Oryzias latipes: one gene and its partners. The protein of the gene in region 1 interacts with the protein of each later gene in a biochemical or structural test. Links are inferred from orthologs where the notes say so. Each region holds a gene or a part of one and is shown on either strand. Other genes may lie near its edges. The genes, in order: syk, ptpn6, receptor tyrosine-protein kinase erbB-2 and flt3.

The links.
Region 2: of the proteins of syk (region 1) and ptpn6, one has a biochemical effect on the other in vitro, tested with the Homo sapiens proteins (2 studies listed by BioGRID). The link is inferred for Oryzias latipes from reciprocal best matches to the Homo sapiens genes SYK and PTPN6.
Region 3: the proteins of syk (region 1) and receptor tyrosine-protein kinase erbB-2 form a complex in vitro, tested with the Homo sapiens proteins (2 studies listed by BioGRID and IntAct, with this or other methods). The link is inferred for Oryzias latipes from reciprocal best matches to the Homo sapiens genes SYK and ERBB2.
Region 4: of the proteins of syk (region 1) and flt3, one has a biochemical effect on the other in vitro, tested with the Homo sapiens proteins (2 studies listed by IntAct, with this or other methods). The link is inferred for Oryzias latipes from reciprocal best matches to the Homo sapiens genes SYK and FLT3.

Annotation. Positions count from the first base shown.
Region 1 is NC_019870.2:27,545,764-27,549,671, reverse strand, and holds part of syk (tyrosine-protein kinase SYK), read left to right. Parts: intron 1-1,306; 5' UTR 1,307-1,362; coding exon 1,363-1,764; intron 1,765-3,908. UniProt on the Homo sapiens protein: Non-receptor tyrosine kinase which mediates signal transduction downstream of a variety of transmembrane receptors including classical immunoreceptors like the B-cell receptor (BCR).
Region 2 is NC_019874.2:20,377,461-20,382,125, reverse strand, and holds the start of ptpn6 (tyrosine-protein phosphatase non-receptor type 6), read left to right. Parts: upstream 1-1,667; 5' UTR 1,668-2,185; intron 2,186-2,497; 5' UTR 2,498-2,561; coding exon 2,562-2,569; intron 2,570-3,518; coding exon 3,519-3,641; intron 3,642-4,607; coding exon 4,608-4,665. UniProt on the Homo sapiens protein: Tyrosine phosphatase enzyme that plays important roles in controlling immune signaling pathways and fundamental physiological processes such as hematopoiesis.
Region 3 is NC_019877.2:7,404,686-7,408,593, reverse strand, and holds part of receptor tyrosine-protein kinase erbB-2, read left to right. Parts: intron 1-1,115; coding exon 1,116-1,270; intron 1,271-1,345; coding exon 1,346-1,399; intron 1,400-1,485; coding exon 1,486-1,624; intron 1,625-1,709; coding exon 1,710-1,832; intron 1,833-1,917; coding exon 1,918-2,016; intron 2,017-2,098; coding exon 2,099-2,284; intron 2,285-2,368; coding exon 2,369-2,524; intron 2,525-3,342; coding exon 3,343-3,418; intron 3,419-3,775; coding exon 3,776-3,908. UniProt on the Homo sapiens protein: Protein tyrosine kinase that is part of several cell surface receptor complexes, but that apparently needs a coreceptor for ligand binding. Essential component of a neuregulin-receptor complex, although neuregulins do not interact with it alone.
Region 4 is NC_019878.2:17,428,111-17,432,578, forward strand, and holds the start of flt3 (receptor-type tyrosine-protein kinase FLT3), read left to right. Parts: upstream 1-1,363; 5' UTR 1,364-1,464; coding exon 1,465-1,495; intron 1,496-3,910; coding exon 3,911-3,987; intron 3,988-4,080; coding exon 4,081-4,232; intron 4,233-4,313; coding exon 4,314-4,423; intron 4,424-4,468. Other genes in the region: PAN2-PAN3 deadenylation complex subunit PAN3, read right to left, coding at 239-569. UniProt on the Homo sapiens protein: Tyrosine-protein kinase that acts as a cell-surface receptor for the cytokine FLT3LG and regulates differentiation, proliferation and survival of hematopoietic progenitor cells and of dendritic cells.

The DNA of each region.
Region 1 (3,908 bases):
AGAAGTCAAAGGTCAACAAAACTTTGGGCGTTGTTGTAGACTTAAGCTGGTGGTGTGTGTGTGAAGATCGATTTTTCCCATATTGTGGAAAATCTGAAATATCACCACAATGGTCACCAAGCCTTAGAACCATTGACTGTATATGGAGGACTGGACTGAGCGAGTGAGACTTCACCCATTGAAAAATGCCTAACCCCCGGTTCCAACCAAATCAATTCAATTCGAGTCAATTCAGTCGCCATTTTTTCACGATATGTCTGCCGCCATGTTGTCTGTGACATGAACCAGACGTCGTCAGTAAGCTCCATTTCCAAGTGCTCCATGTCGATCTTAGTCTATATTTCCATGGCAACCACTCTCTCCAGTCAGTAGTGAGCATGTTAGAAGGCCTCACCCTTTCCACTGAAAGCAGGATCAGGAGGATCCGGAAATCAAACGCTTTGAACATTCAATGTGAGGCCACCTTCTTTTAATGAGGCATCTGATTGGTCAGTTTGTTACTTGAATGACTTTTACTGCAGCAAAAATATCATTAAAAAAATTAGGATTATCCAGAATATGTTAAAAAGATGTGTCAGAGTGAGAATGGTTATTCTGACCAATAGAATGACTGATTACAGCTGTTTCTTTTTCTATTGAAGTCTATTAGATTTCAGCTTTTTTGGAACCAGCGGGTACTTCCTGTTTGGAACACGGGGTGGAGGGGTCACTTAGTCCAGTTCTCATATACAGTCAACGGCCGTAGGTCCCACGGCCATCTCATGATAATTACAAAACTCCCTTTGTTTTGGTTTTCAATATAGGATTTAGAAATATTTTTTGGAGACCTATAAAAGATTTTGGCTAATTCATCTTTTGTTGTTTCCTTCTGCTGTGATTTATTCATTGGGGGGGGTTACAATGCCTAAAATTCATTGTCTATGTTTTCTAGATTTATGAAAATGTTGATGAGTTTTTGAGTAAGTATGAAAGCTGCAGTAAGAAAGAAGAATTAATAAAAGCAATCTGGTCTTTGTGGTCCAGGTCTGCTGCGGGACAGAATTAACAAAAAGAACTAAACACACTTTCTTCAAGTGTCTTTGTTGGAACGATTCATATAAACTGCTGTTTATAAAAACTACAGCAGCTTACTGACATCAACCTGACAAAAGTAAAGACAATTGTTTTGCTTCTAAAAGCAGGCGATACCAGCATCACCTGCTTGAGTGTCCCTGTTTCTGGAGTAAAGAACAACTTTTATCTGTTTTTTAGCTTCTCCTTTCAGATTTTGCAGTTGTAACTCAAGGTGACCTTCTTGTTTTCTCAGGGACACTTCATCCTGGTGGCCTAGTTTTGTGAGGAGACAAGTGTCCAACGGCCAAGATGGCTGACGCTGTCAACGCACTGCCGTTCTTCTACGGCAACATCGCCAGGGAGGAGGCGGAGGACTACCTTCGGCAGGCAGGCATGAGCAACGGGCTGTACCTGTTACGGCAAAGCCGGAATTACCTGGGAGGCTTTGCCCTTTCTGTCGCCAATGCTAAGCACTGCTACCACTACACCATCGAGAAAAAGCCCAACGAGACGTACGCCATCGCTGGAGGCAAGAGCTACAGGAGCCCCGTGGACGTGATTGACCACCACTCCCAGGAGACAGACGGCCTGGTGTGTCTCCTGAAGAAGCCCTGCAACCGACCCAAGAACATGCAGCCCAAAGTTGGACCCTTTGAGGACCTGAAGGAGAAGCTGATCCGAGAGTACGTGAAGCAGACCTGGAACCTAAGGGTGAGTTTGCCTGGCAGGGATCCTTTGTTCAGAAATCTGTTGTTTTTCTGTTTCTGAAGCATCTTTTCAGAAAGGTGGTGAGAGATTGTAAACAAGTAATCAATAAACTATGATGGCCTGAGGATCCAGGTGTTCAGGCGGGCTGGTGGATCTCTAAGCCCGCTTGGCTCCCATACTGTTTCTGTTGTTCCTGATCTGATCCCCATTTGTCTGAGTCTCAGGCTGCACTGGTGGCTCCTCCCTCTGTCCTCTGGGACACACTGTCAGGTTATAACGGATCACTATTTTGCACGCCTTTGTGGTCTCTGACATGTAAACTCCTGGAAGGAGACTGGAGTAGTCACAGATGTCTCCATGGCTGGCCAAAGCGTATTGTCCACCTTCCACTCTGATTCCACGCTTCATCACACCTAGACTAATCTGCTGAAGACAGACCAGTATGGAGTCCTGCAAACACGTTTGGCTCATTTGACTCCTCACTGCTCGAGCGTTTCACCAACCTGTGAGGGCACGATCCAACCCCAACCATCGATGAATCATCAAATGTGAAAGGCAGAGACTACAGTGAACGTATGTGAACTTTAAAGTCTCCTGATCGGCGGTTGGCTGCAGCAGAGGTCCCCTCTTTGAAGACGTTTATGTCAAAACATGAACTCAGAACCGCTCTGTCAGAAGCCTTCCTGAATCTGTCTGTTCTGGGAATCAGTTCCTTCACGAGAAAGAAGCTGAACTTTGCTGAGATCCGCTGACCCAGCCCACATCTCAAAACACAGCTTTTGTTGGAGGTTTTTAATTGCCCAATAGCCCAGACCGAAAGTAAAAGAACAGGAACCCGGAGATAACAGAAATAGAACATTTCTACTGTATTCTGACGCAAAGGTTTAAAAAAACAGCCAGTCAGAAAGAGCGACTGAGCGCGCTCAGATTCCAGATTCCAGATCCTGAACTGCATCTTCATCTGCCGTCCTTGCAACCCAATGATGGTGGGGGGGGGGCAGTTTGATTTTGAAGAGCGATAAGTTCAGTTTGGACGTTTGTTTGTTTCTCTCATCCTTTGTTCTGAACGGATGAGGAAGACTCAGAGGCGGTCTCTGTGAGGTGTGAATTTCTGGTTCCGGTCCTTTAAATGATGACGTTACCACAACGCAGCATCCTACCTGAGCAGGTGTGAACATCGCTGGCATGGCTGGGGGGTTATCTCTGCAGCCAATAGCTTCTAGCAGATTTCACAGTTTTCTGTCTTCAGAAGAGACCTCTAGGTTGAAAACCACTAAAACTGGTTTTAATTTAAGCCGTTTTTCTGTGTTTATATGTTTTCAGGCTGTGTGCAACACAATGAAGTCCATATGTCTCTCCGTCTGGGTAACAGCCTGTGACTTTTGCATAAAAGTCCTCCTTACCCTCTATCAGAAATTTCAGAAGTCTCTCAGTCTGAATACAGATGTGTCAGTTCAACGTTGATTTTTTATTTTTTTGATTGAAAGTCCAACTTTGAGACATTTCTTAATGACATTTTATCCAGCATTTTTGTCAGCCAGAGCGAAGCAGAATACTGACTCCAGACCAGCGTGAGCCCACAAACACCCTCTATAATATAATTGAGGCCAAGTTACTGCTTACCTCACCTTCTGTGTTTTTTCAGTGCAGCTTTATGTCGGATCCATTAAAGAAACAACAGACAAACATGAAAGAATAACTGTTAAATGGAAAGCGATGACACGTAAAAAGATGCATAGAAACTATTTAATAAAGTGTTAAATTTATTAGCATATGCTGAATAAGCCAAAGGCAACCCAGTCTGCATGGGATTGCACAAGCCTGCGTGAGCTGTAAAATGAACAGGAAATGTGGTAAATACAGTAATTTTGAGGATAAAAATGATTACATTCATACGTATAAATGACCTTTTTAGCACAGATTAGACTAAAGGTTTATTGTATTACTGGTACACGTTTAATGATGGCAGGTAAGGAGGATGACAGGTGAGGCACTGGCTCACCTGTTTGATCGCAGGTCTCTGCAGCCAACCAGACAAATGGTTGTTTTCTCATCAGCTTTGGTGGTGAATGGAGCAACAGGCAGTTTTCACACAGATATTTTTACACACTTGTGCGGAGGCTGATCTCCGGCCTTTGAAGCTGCTT
Region 2 (4,665 bases), on another chromosome or scaffold:
GCTTTATGTCAGTTACCCTCTTTGACACAACCGTCTGCATTTGCCCTGAGTTGGGACCGGCATACAAAAGCACTGGATCAGGCCACCTGGTGGTTGCTAAGCTAATAAAAACTAAAAACCAAGAGTCTGAGCGCTGTTGAAGGAGACGCCTGTGTGTGTCCTAAATAAGTTTAGAAACTCATTTAGAGTTATTTTGGTGTTAATTATGTTGAGAAACGCTTTCCCAGAACAGGAAGGAGAAAAACAAAGAAGACAATGCTTTCAATTGTTTTCCTAATAGCTGGTTCCGTCTGGCATTTCTTCAGTAAGCCTACATCCTCCTCTCCATAAAAAATGACCCTCGGCGTTTTAGAAAGTTTGGTGTCTATCTTCAGTCGTCAACTTTCCAGACTGCTTTGTATTATAGGGCCCATGTTTCCAAAGATAGCTGTTTGTTTTTAGCACAGCTGCTACTTAGCTTGCCAGGAACTGGCACAATTCAAATTCAGTTCTCCATCAAGCAGCTGTTTATAGCAGCATTTTAAATATGATATTCAGACTTTTAAACATCAAAAGCAACAATAACATTTAAAGTAACAACAACCATTAAACCGACTTCAAAGCTACAATCCATCCATCAGTTCTCTGAACCTGCTGAATCCCTTTCAGGGTCATAGGGTTGTTGGAGCCTATCCCTGTTACTGTTGGATAAACCCTGGAGAAGCAGCCAATTTGTTGCAGGGCTTAAAGTAACTAAATATCTAAAATCAAAATAAAGGAGTTGTTTTTCCCTGAAGAAAAAACATGCACTCAATCAATTCTATTCCTACTGATTGGTTCATTTAATAAGATCAACAAACTATAGATGTTTCTCTGTTCACCTTTTTTATGAGGCAGAAAATGCTCAAAGTATCAGTTTGCAGCGCAGTGCAAGCAAACCTGATAGCCCAAGTGAAAAGATCAAATCAGGAACCTTTTTTCCATCACTGTAGGTGTACAGCCATTCTATACGTGTGTGAAAAACGTCTGCCTTTGTCTGAGATTTGAAGCCTTAACATCTGAGAAACAAAGAGACCCCAAACCAAGTCTGACTGCAAAGCGCAAGTGAGGCAAATAATGCAAACAACAATAGCGGGCGTTAACCCCGACGACACCTGCAGGGCTGCATGTGTGTGTTTGTTGGTGCAGGGGCGGGGAGAGCTGCACCATGTACTAGAAACTACACACTTATTCACTTTTTCCTTTAATTTTTTGCTGCAAACACATAAAACCACCAAAGTCCGCTAGTCACTGAACGATTTTACACCTCATGTAGGAAACCATTATTTTCCACTTACATGCTATCTGGTTGTGAGGAATTCATGAAATAATTGCTACTGTATTTGCATTTTCATTTGTTGTGCATTTGCTTCTACGCAAATTTTTGTGTTGTTTTTAGGGATACAAAAAACTCCCCTAAAAGTCACAATATGTACTTTGTGTTTGTGGCTGCAGATAATTTACTCCGTATAAGGATAAAGCAGCAATTTTCAAGGTGCTGGATCGGCGTTCTTTAAATTAAAACAGTTGACAACAGCACATGATATATCAGCTTGCAGCAGCACACGCACACATGCAGCCTCACACATGCAGAGGGGGGAAGGTTCAAATGAGGAAGTGTTCTGTTCTGACCTTTGTGTTTCGCACACTCGTACACACCTGGAAGTAAAGAACAGAGGGCAGATTCAGCCGACAGGTGGAGGAAACTTTGCAAATACTTTCTGTTAGACAAAGAGCGGGCATATTTGTGCATTGATGAGGAGATGGAACTGCCTTTTTGGAGGGTGTTTTTCAACCATACGCCTGTTGGAATTGCCGTTGTCTCACAGCTCTGAACAGAGGAGTCATCTAAAGAAGCTCTGCAGCTGTTTTTCCAGAAGACGGAGGTGATGGAGTTGAAGCCTTCTCTGCTCTTAGATTGGCAACGTTTTTATTTTGGTCATCAATAAAAGAAAAAGAAAAAAAAAAGACACCATCTTTATCTGCTTGAGGAATTCCGGCCTGTCAGCTATTTTGGTTCCTGTCTTGCTTTCACTACTTTGTGAAAGGAGACGTAGAAAGGAAGGAAGGGGAGAGCGTATGAGCACGACGCAGAGGAGGGGAGACAGACACATACAGCGTCAACGTCTCGACCAGTGTCAGTTGTTTTCAGGAGCAGCTGAGGAGAGTAAGTGTTTACCTGCTTTTGCTGTTGAAGGGAAGACTGAGAACCGGGGTCAGCGGCGGTCCGCTGGTGGGTGGTGGCGGGGCAGGGGTGGGTATTAAGTTAATGTGTTACACCAGAGGGAGAGCAAAGGCAATTAGATTTAATTGATTCTTGATAAAAATATCTTAAGTTGAAGGTCAAGTTAGCGCTTGACATACCAAATGTGTTTGCGGTAAATGTACAATTCAAGTAGACCAAAAGTAAGGAAGCTGCAAAAACTACACAAACTTTCAACGCCAAAGTGTGTGATCTGAGTCTACACATGTGCCGCAGGAACAAGCGACTCTTCCCAAATCGCTCTTCTTCTCTTTAGTCCCAGAAAAAGTGAGGAGACGCCATGGTTCGGTGAGTCAAGCCTCTGCCGGACACATCAAACTCTGGTTTTGTTCTTTGTGTTTTGTGCAACAACTTCTCTGTTTCCATTCCTCCTTTTGTCTATTCCCTGCTGCTGGCCTGTCCTGCTCCTCTTCTGTCATGTCATTTGTGATCCCTCGTCAGCTAAACCCTGCAAGTTCAGTATAAGAGACTGGGACATAAATAAAGTGTTTAGGTTTCAGTTCTGTTGTTTCCTCAAAGCTCCACAGTGTCAGACAGATCATGTGTTCGAAAACAGTTATTAACCTTTTTTGTGCAATATGTCAGATTTTAAAAACCTGGTTATTCGTCTAGCTAATAAGGCTGTAAAGCAACATAATTTATTAAAGTACGTCAGCATTACTGACTATGCCCTAATGCACGCTTTGTTTTCCTGATGATCAACAAATTGCATGTAGGTAAAGTGAAAATAGTTTCTGAAGGTTTATGTTAAACCCTTATTGGATCAAGGATTTGGACTGTGGTTCATCACATGAAATTGTCTTTTATCTTTCTTAGGCCAGTGAAACCAAAGGCTTTAATAAAACCTTTAATTTATCACGTTAAAGTCACCCTCTGCCTTAGTATTATTTATGTTTGAGACTCTAAAACAAAAAATATAAAAATGAATATGTTGATTTTGAGGATTTTTACAAAGAATCTACTCAAGATTGTAATGAAACCTAATAATGTTTAAAAGATCATCACCTGAATTTCTTCCCTTCTTTTATTAAAAAGTACAGCTTTTCTCTCCATCTTTACACTTTCTTGCACCCCTGATCTTGTCGAGAAACTCCCATCTCTCTTTTGCGTATGCGTGCACCTGGATTTTCTTGGTCTATTTAAAGCTGTACATTTTAAATCTATGTGACACATGTATGCCTTCTACTAGGTCAATGTTGTTGTGCTTCATCTTTTCTATCTTTGTGCGTCGATCCAGGTGGTTCCACAGAGACATCACAGGCCTGCAGGCTGAGGAAATACTGAAGCTGCGAGGCATTGACGGAAGCTTTTTAGCTCGACCCAGCAAGAAAAACGTTGGAGATTTCTCCCTGTCTGTCAGGTAATGTCTGGTGTGAACAGATGCAGCACATGAGCTGCATCTGCAAAACTTCTTTCAAGTTTTGCAGCCTTTATTTGATGATAAGAAAATAAGCTGAGAGCTGCAGGCTCCCGCCAGGGCCTATATTTTGATGCGAATGATCTACGCACACATGCCAGTTTTGTTGGAGGCCTTTTCTTAAAGTGAGTAAAAGTAGCAGCAATGGAAGCGATTCTTATAATTTATAAAACTTTGCGGATTGAAAAAAAAGGTTGTTACAGAACTCCAAAAGACGTGGTTGCATCTTCTTTGAACAACAGCAGAAAATTAGTCAGATTTGCTCATTTTAGATGTCTTATCTGTAACTTCTTACAGCAAAAGATCCCTTTCCAAGCTCCACTTTGTGAAAACAGTTAGCACTTTCCAATTTTGTGTGAAAAAGTGCACAGCTCTAAATGATCTACTTACTCCCAAGGCCACTTTCTTAGAAAAAAATGCATTTTGGTTAATTCTTATCCTTTCATTTGGATTAAAAAACAATAATTCTAACAGAAAAAACATGTTTTTATGTAAAAAAAAAAAAAAAAAAAAAAAAAAAGAGTCTGAAAGCTTGATCGACAGTTTGATGAACCAAAAATGTTATTTTTGTTTGTAAAATTGTCTATTAAATCTGATTTTTTATTTATTCCGATGCTAAAGCCGCATTTTTCTAATATTTCTCCTCCTTTGGCCGCCCAAGTTGAGCTTAAAAATATGGAAAATAAATTTGTTGTTACACATGCTGCCAAAAATCTTTTAATAGGATCGATTGACTTCGATATTTGATAAGCTCGCAGCTGTAGCCAGGCTGAAAAGGACCATCACGTTTATGTCGGTTTACTGAGTATAAAAGTCCTCACCTGGTGCTTTTGTACCTGCTGCCATCACAAAGAAACCGTTAACAGTTTTCTTGGTGTGGCCTTGGTGTTTTTGTTTTTTCCTCTCCAGGGTGGGTGATCAAGTGACCCACATCCGCATCCAGAACACAGGTGACTACTATGACCTG
Region 3 (3,908 bases), on another chromosome or scaffold:
TTTGAGACAGATTTTGTGTTTTTAGCCCAGTTTGTTTTTGATCCAATCAAACCCAAAACACCTGTGTGACATCACTGACATCACAGGTTTTGTGTGAACTCATTTTAAAACGTCTCCTCATGTTTTGACTCTTTATTATTGTGGACATTTCTCTCTAGTTTTGAATGTAGAAATGGCAGCCTCGTGTTTTTCTTTTCTTTATTTGTATTTGAGCCTTCAGCAGCTCTACAACTCGCATCCATGAGCACTTTTCCTGACATCCTTCATTTCTATTCTTCATTTTTGGTTAATAATACCGTATTTTCCGGACTATAAGTCGCCCTTTTTTTCATAGTTTGGCAAGGGGTGCGACTTATACTCTGAAGCGACTTATATTAGAAATAAATTGAAATAAATACATTGTTAACCCTCCTGTTATGTTCATATGTGAGTAACAGAGATGATGTTCCTGGGTCAATTTGATGTATGAGGTATGTTAAGTGTTAAGAGGATGTTAAGTGACTCAGAGAATCAGCAAACTTTTTTTTACAGTAAGATCTTGAAGGCTAACAACATAATATTCTATTTTCCAATGATTTCATAGATTCAGAAATGCAATAAAAATGACAACTGTTTCTACAAATACAGGATGAAAACAGAGTATTAGTTGGCCAATGATGCTTCATGAAAGGAATAAATAAATAAGTTTGAGAAAAAATTACTGTGAAATTATTAGATAAACAGTCTGCTATGATTGTGTCATATAAGGTTGTGAAAGTTAAAATGCGACTTATAGTCCAGTGCGACTTATCTGTGTTTTTTTCTTCTTTATAATACATTTTTGGGCTGGTGCGACTTATACTCCGGTGCGACTTATAGTCCGGAACATACGGTAGTTAGTCTTTCTAACTATTATTGGGGGGAGCTTGGTGATGAATTCTAGGGGCTCAGAGATTTTAGCTGCTGTCAGATTTTTCAGGAGGTTGTTGCATTTTTTATGTTGACTCCAAAGAGCGCCCAAAGTGGTGGGAATTTTTTCTGAATCTTTAAAATAATCTCTGGTGGGGAAACTCATCAGAAACATGATGATATTTTTAGCCACTTTAGATTGTTCGATGTTGCTTGTGCGTCTCCAGGGTCCGGAGGACTGTACGGAGTGTCGACACTTCCGGGACGGAAAGGTTTGTGTGGAGCAGTGTCCGAGTGGTGTGAAGGAGGAACATCAGACCATATGGAAATACAGCAACGCTACCGGCCACTGTCTGCCATGCAACACTAACTGCACCCTCTCGTAAGCAAACCCTCATCTGAAGGCACAAACGCCTCTTTAAGACAGAGAAGGGGATTCATGTGGAGTTGTTTTCAGTTTCAGCTGCTCAGTGAAGGATGAGCGGGGCTGCCCTATTGACACCAGGACAGGGTAAACTCGTCACTTTCAAATGTTTTTCCTCTTTGAACCTCTCATGTTTTTTAATAAAGCGAAACAAAACGTGTTTTCTTTTTTAGACCTGGCACTACTATAGCAGCAGCAGTGGGTGGAGTGGTCCTCTTCTTCATCCTTCTGGCTCTCCTGGTTTTCTATCTGAGGCGACAGAGTAAACTGAAAAGGAAGGAGACGGTGAGGAGGTACCTGCAGGAGCAGGAGGTGAGCAGCGACAGAGATGGGAGTTGTTGTAGCTTTGCTGAAGCCAGATCCTGAAGGGGGTGTTTTTCTGACTTTTTTTTTGCAGCTAGTAGAGCCTTTGACTCCCAGTGGCGCATCTCCTAACCAAGCCCAGATGCGCATCCTGAAGGAGACCGAGCTGAAGAAGCTGAGGGTTCTGGGTGCAGGGGCCTTCGGCACCGTCCACAAGGTGAGTTTTCTGGCAGCAAATCTGAATTTGTAGGAAAATGTAGATTTGCAGCCAAAGTTTTTGATCATTTTTCAAACATTTTTAGGGCGTTTGGACTCCTGAAGGGGAAACTGTTAAAATACCTGTAGCTATTAAGGTGTTGCGGGAGAACACCTCTCCAAAGGCCAACAAAGAAATCCTGGATGTGAGTAAACACTCTGCAAACACCTTCATAGGCACAGCTCGCTAGAGTCCAGTTCACTGTTCTTTTATCCCCCCCCCCATAGGAGGCCTATGTGATGGCGGGGGTCACCAGCCCCTACGTCTGTCGCCTTCTGGGAATTTGTCTGACCTCCACCGTGCAGCTGGTCACTCAGCTGATGCCGTACGGCTGTCTCCTGGATTACGTCCGGGAGAACAAGGACTGCATCGGTTCGCAGTTTCTCCTGAACTGGTGTGTCCAGATCGCTAAGGTACAAAGCGAGGAAACGGACAGTTTAGGTGCTTCCTGTTCTCACAGCTGCTGTGTGGCGTCACGAGTCTGTGTTTGTCTGAAGGGCATGAGTTACCTGGAGGACATCCGGTTGGTCCACAGAGATCTGGCCGCCCGCAACGTTCTGGTAAAGAACCCGAACCACGTGAAGATCACGGACTTTGGTCTGGCCCGTCTGCTCGATATAGACGAGACCGAGTATCATGCTGATGGAGGGAAGGTAAAACAAACACGTGTGTGTGTGTGGAAAAAACAGCAGTATCTGTTAAAATACACTGATACAAACAAGATAATGTTGGTATAAAATCAATCTGGAAGTAATTGATTACTGGCTGTTTTCTACCTGTTTTCTCTACTGTCTTTGCCTTTTTACATCCAGTCACAAGATTGCTTCTACCAAGTTGGGTCAATTAAAATTGGCTGAAGTGTTGTGTGCAATAAAAATAACCTTTTTTTTCCCACAGCCCTTCAATCAAAACCTGACACTTTTTTAATGAACAAAATGGTCTAAAAGACCCAAAATGCCAGGTTTTTAAGTTTGAAGCTGATTTGGATTGCTTAAAATAAAGACGTGCATTCAAGCAGCCGCTTCCGATGAAAAGTCAATATAAAGGATATTGACTATTGTCTGTGGAAACAGGCGTAAGTTTCTACAACTGTTTTCAGGCTTCATGTTTTAAACGCCCGTCCATTGAACACGTTGAAAGTTAAACCAGGTTGAACTTGAGCGACGTATGGATGGTATTCCTTTTAATTCCCGGAAGTGCCAGCCGTTTGAAAATAGATCATGCTGGAGAAATAATAATTTGTTTTTTGCCCGACTGGAATGATATGACGCCAAGTCTTTCATTTCACACCAAGCCTCTTCCAGCTGTAGGTGGTGGACTAGTAAACGGTAGAAAAAGCCCCTCCCTGCTTGTCCAGTGTGAACAACATGAGCTAAACATTTAGCGCGTGCTTCAATGCACACACCCAGTGTGTACGTAGCTTCATAGTTTCTTCACTTCTATGTTTAAAGTGGTGTTTCCGTATTTCCAGGTACCCATTAAATGGATGGCTTTGGAGTCAATAATGCACAGAAGGTTCACTCATCAGAGCGACGTGTGGAGCTACGGTCAGACTCACTTCTTCCAGTTTTAATGACAATGTTCACAGAAAGGAAATCCTACATTTGATTTAATTGGATTTTTATTTATTTCAAGCATTAAAAATAATGCAGTAGTACCAGCAAAACATTATAAAATATATCAAACCCATTTCAGATATCAAGTAATTTATTCATTAGACAATTAACAAAGATGAAAGAAGATTATGCCATTTTCTTGACATTTTAATTACTCATGATCAAAATAGATTGTTTTTGCAGGATTGCATACAGCACATACACAGATAAATTAAATATAATGAATATCAAATAAAGTTAAGTAGTGTTATTTTTATTGTTATTAATATACAAATTCTGAAATGATAGGAGTGACTGTTTGGGAGCTAATGACCTTTGGATCAAAGCCTTATGACACGATCCCAGCAAGGAAAATTCCTGATGTCCTCGAGGGGGGAGAGCGTCTTCCTCAGCCCCCCATCTGCACCATCGACGTCTACAT
Region 4 (4,468 bases), on another chromosome or scaffold:
ATTTATGTTATTATATATGGCTTACTATTGATGTGAAGACTAAACAAGTCACAAATCAATTTTTAACAGCGGGAATGTCAAGCTGCAAGCCGAAGGGTTATGGTTCTGCAGACAGAAACCACGTTTTGTTGTAAAGAGGCCAACAGAATCCTCGGGCTATCTTATGAAATTCCCCCACTGGGCCATGAGGTAAGGTCAGTCAGGAATCTTGTGCGAGGGGTTACTGTTTTGTACTCACTGGTTAGCAGCTGCCCTTCCAGGGACGTTCCCGCAGGCCCCACCGTTTCGCTCTTCTTTGACACCACGGTCCCTCCGCTGACTGTAGCCGTGCCGCCAATGGAGTACACCGCTGGCGTCCCTCCGCTGCCGGCCATTGATAAGGGAACCGGGCTACCTCCGCCGCCGTGAAGAGGCAGGTTTGCCAAGGACGGATCGTCGTGTAGGAACTGACATTCGTCTCCATAAAAGCACGTTTTGTCCTTCGCGTAGTAGCGGCAAAACTTCACCTTAACATTAGGTAGTCCGGCACCCCCAAGCGGAGCAGCTGAGGGTGGAAGTCCACTGTTCATGGCACCGCTGCTGCCGCCACTGCTGCCGGAAGACACTCGAACATAGAGACGCAGGGAGCTAGCGTGCTAGCTAGCAAGCTTTGAACAGTTTCCCCCCAAAACACTAGATTTAATTTGCTTTAGCCGATGAAAAAACCCATACTTTAGCGACACTTACATTATAAAGCTAGGGTGTATTTCGATTTGAGGAAAAGATGCTTATATGCTCGGGGTTCCGGGCTATCCATGCAGCTGCTGCCCCTACAAAGTAGCCTGTTGTTGTTGTTTTGAGCCTCCAGTCTGGCCGCAAAGCTGCAGCTAACATGCCTTTGCATTCTGGGTACCGTTCACCTGCTGCAAATGCATGCTTCACGTTAAAAAATCAGATATTTAAAAGAACACCCGGTCTGACAAAAAATGTATGTTCAGTTGTTCAAAACTAAAAATAGTAATAATTTATACTATTATTGTAAGGTTGGAATATTATACAAAGAAAACTGGAAACCATTCAAAGACAAAGTCGAAAAAAATGACAAATTTATAATAATTCAAAACATTCTATGTTTTTGTTCCTTTTTTCATGGTTTTTCACTAAATGTAATGTTTGTGAGGAAATAACTTTTCAAATATGTATACGATTAAAAACTAGTAACACTTTTATTTTTCAAAATAAAAGTCTTTCATGTTTTCTGAATCTGAAACAAGCGCAACAGTCTTCAAGGACAGAAGCTCCAAAAAAAAAAAAAAAAACCTGCCATGTTAATACTTAAGGGTGTGTTTTTAACAGTTTTTTTTAAGTGAGGCGTTATTTCCAGCCATACTTCCTCTGTTAAAAACACTGTTGCACACTTCTGCATGCAGACAATCCGCAACTCAACTCCCCTCAGAATATGTGACTCCAATAACGGAGAGCAAGATGATGTGGATCAAGATAGCTTCGACTGCCAGTGAGTACTGCTGTAAATTTGGGCATTATAATCAGTGGCGGACTTAGCAGTTTTGGGGCCCCAGGTGAAGAATAACATGGGGCCCTCTTCAGTGGTTGTATTTATCATTTTTTCAAAAAAACAAAAAAAAAACAAAACATAGAATAACTTATGTACTGGTCCTCTTTTAAATATATCAAGAATCCAAATGTTTTGATGAGCTTTAAAAAACTGAAATCACGTTTAAGAAATGTATTTTATAGTATATACATTATTCTTACTTGGAAAAACATTACATATATGAAATGTCAACTTTATTTATAAAGCACTTTTAAAAGCAGCAGAGGCTGACCAAAGTGTTTAACAATTAAAGATAAATGAAAGCAACAATCTAAAATAAACAAAATAATACAAAAGTAATAAAAATCAATAAAATCCCCAACTCATACTGAGTTAAAAGCCAGAGAGATAAACTGAGTTTTCAATGGATTTAAAATCATTCAATGAACGGGCCTGCCTAACTTGCATGGGCAGTGCATTCCACAAACTTATAGAAGCTTTTCTATAGCACAGCTAAAAATAAAAATCAATGCCAGAAAGGCTTCTGTAGCATTATTAAAAATAAAAGTCAATGCCCAGAAATGCTTCTGTAGCATTACTAAAAATAAAAGTCAATGCCAGAAATGCTTTTTTGTTTTCAAATTGAAGCTGTATTTGTTGACTCAAGATTAAAATGAAAAAGCAATCCGCCAAACCACCTTTTCTTTTTCTTCTTCAACACAGCTCATTCTATCACTTAATTAAAATGATAAAGAAAATGGTATTTGACATTTAATTTTCAAAAGGGTCTCTGGTAAATGTGTAGTAAAATTCAATTAGAAATATCTAATTTGACAATTAAAATGGATTAACAGAAATGCTTTTTCACTTTCACAATGTAACTGCATGAAATGACACAAAATTAAAATTAAAAATCAATCCTTTAATTATGCTTTTTCATTTCCTTCTTCAACATCGCACACTCTGTGACATAATTAAAGCAAAAATACAAAGAGGGGATTACATTTTTGTTTTCACATCCCCCCTCAAAAAGTGTAGCATAATTCAATTCTAGTCAGCATTTTCAAGAGAAGCGCTACGGAAGCGCTTCCATATTTCACAGCCCCTCGAATCACTTTGCTTCGTCTGACCACTTTTTAAAAATTGCTTTGAATCATCATCTAATCTCTACCAGTGATTGGCAGATAGATAGTGTTGCCAGATAGTAACAGTTTTCCAGCCCAAAAGTTATCAAAAGACCACCAGACCCAACAAAAAACTACCCAAAATACTAATCAGTGATTACTAGCAGTAATTAATCATCCATTATTTATTAATTCCCGATTTGATTGAAAGTCCAACTTTAACACATTTTTAATGATATTACATCCACCATTTTTGCAGTCAGTCAGAGAAAAACATGAAATAATGGACTCCTATTGAACTTTACTAACAACCACTGCTGATTTACTCAAATATTAAGGCGAATTAAATAAAAGGAAAGTGAAAAAACAAGAATAATTAAACACTAGCCTATAGAAATTCTAGTTTAACTTATTTACCAATCAAAAACAAAAGTGGAAATTGTTCTTGTTTTGTTACTATTCATGAATTTAGGTCAGATCAAATAAAAGCAAATGTCCTTGTGAAGCGTGATGATTTTTTATTTAAATTGTTTTTTTTATTAAATTTCCAAGTAGTAAATAAAACATTTAGAACTAAATCAAATATCACCTGAAACGACTCTAAAAATCTGTCATTTTTTTTACATAAATAAAAGATTGTTTATTGCCAATGATAAAATGGATTTGTATTACATTTATTTCATTTTTAGTTCTCCAAATTAATTCTATCTCAGTCAGTTTATGATGTAGTTTGAATAAAGTTGTAACTTAAAGATTTTATTGTTATTTTACATTCATAGGGGATTTTTTAAACACTTTTTTTACTTTAAAATTTAAAACTGAATCATTTTCAGTTCATGTTAGTTTACAATTCTTGCCAAATTGAAAAGACAACTGATATTTAAATCCACCTCTTGGATGTTTTTCAATGTTTTTCTAACAACAAAACAGTTCTGAAATTCAATCGTCACTTTAAATCTGTCAAGTCAAATGTGCCTAAGTTATGGTTAATTGTGCTTGTGTGGACCTATGATGATTTAGGGACCCATCAAGTATTTATAATTTCTTATAGCATTGCCGAGTCCATGTAAAATTTAATGGTAAATGTAAACTTGATTTGAATAAAAATGGATCTGAACACAGTCCGATTTCAAGTCTGGTCCTGAGCCTGTACAGGTATTATTCTACAAGTATTACTTTATATGGTGCTTATGAACAAAATTGTACAAAGAAAAATAATAATAATAAAAAGATGTTGCCACTTCTGTCCTAGCTTCTCTCTTGCTGTGTTTTCTTGGAGCTCTTTGCATCGTTGGGGCAGAGAATGACGTCTGTGTGCCAAGTATTCAGGTAAGAGCAGCAGTGGAAACATATAAAATAGTTCAAAGTTAGTTTTTATTGTTCTTATCTAAAATCCCAACATTGTTGAATTTTGTCTTTCAGACAGAATGCTTTAACACATCCGACTATGAGGATTCTTCTGGTATGGTCCGTATCACGATGCTACACGGTAAGGAGCTGAACATCAACGTCAACGGCCTCTCTGGTTCTCCTGTCTGCAGGTGGATCAGAGGAAATCAAACAATAATGACCTCGTAAGTAAACTCTGCATGAGATGAGTCTTCTCTATTTTCTTTATTTATAATCTGAACTGAATTTTGTCCTAATCATTTTAGGGACAAGACTCACTTCATGGTGATGCCAGATTCAGGCCAGTACACTCTGACTTGTTCTGGTCACAATATGACCATTTTCTCAAAGACTGTGGTCCTTCATGTTCTGCAAAGTGAGTATAAATTTTATAGCTCAGTTCCTCATTTTTAGTTCTTTT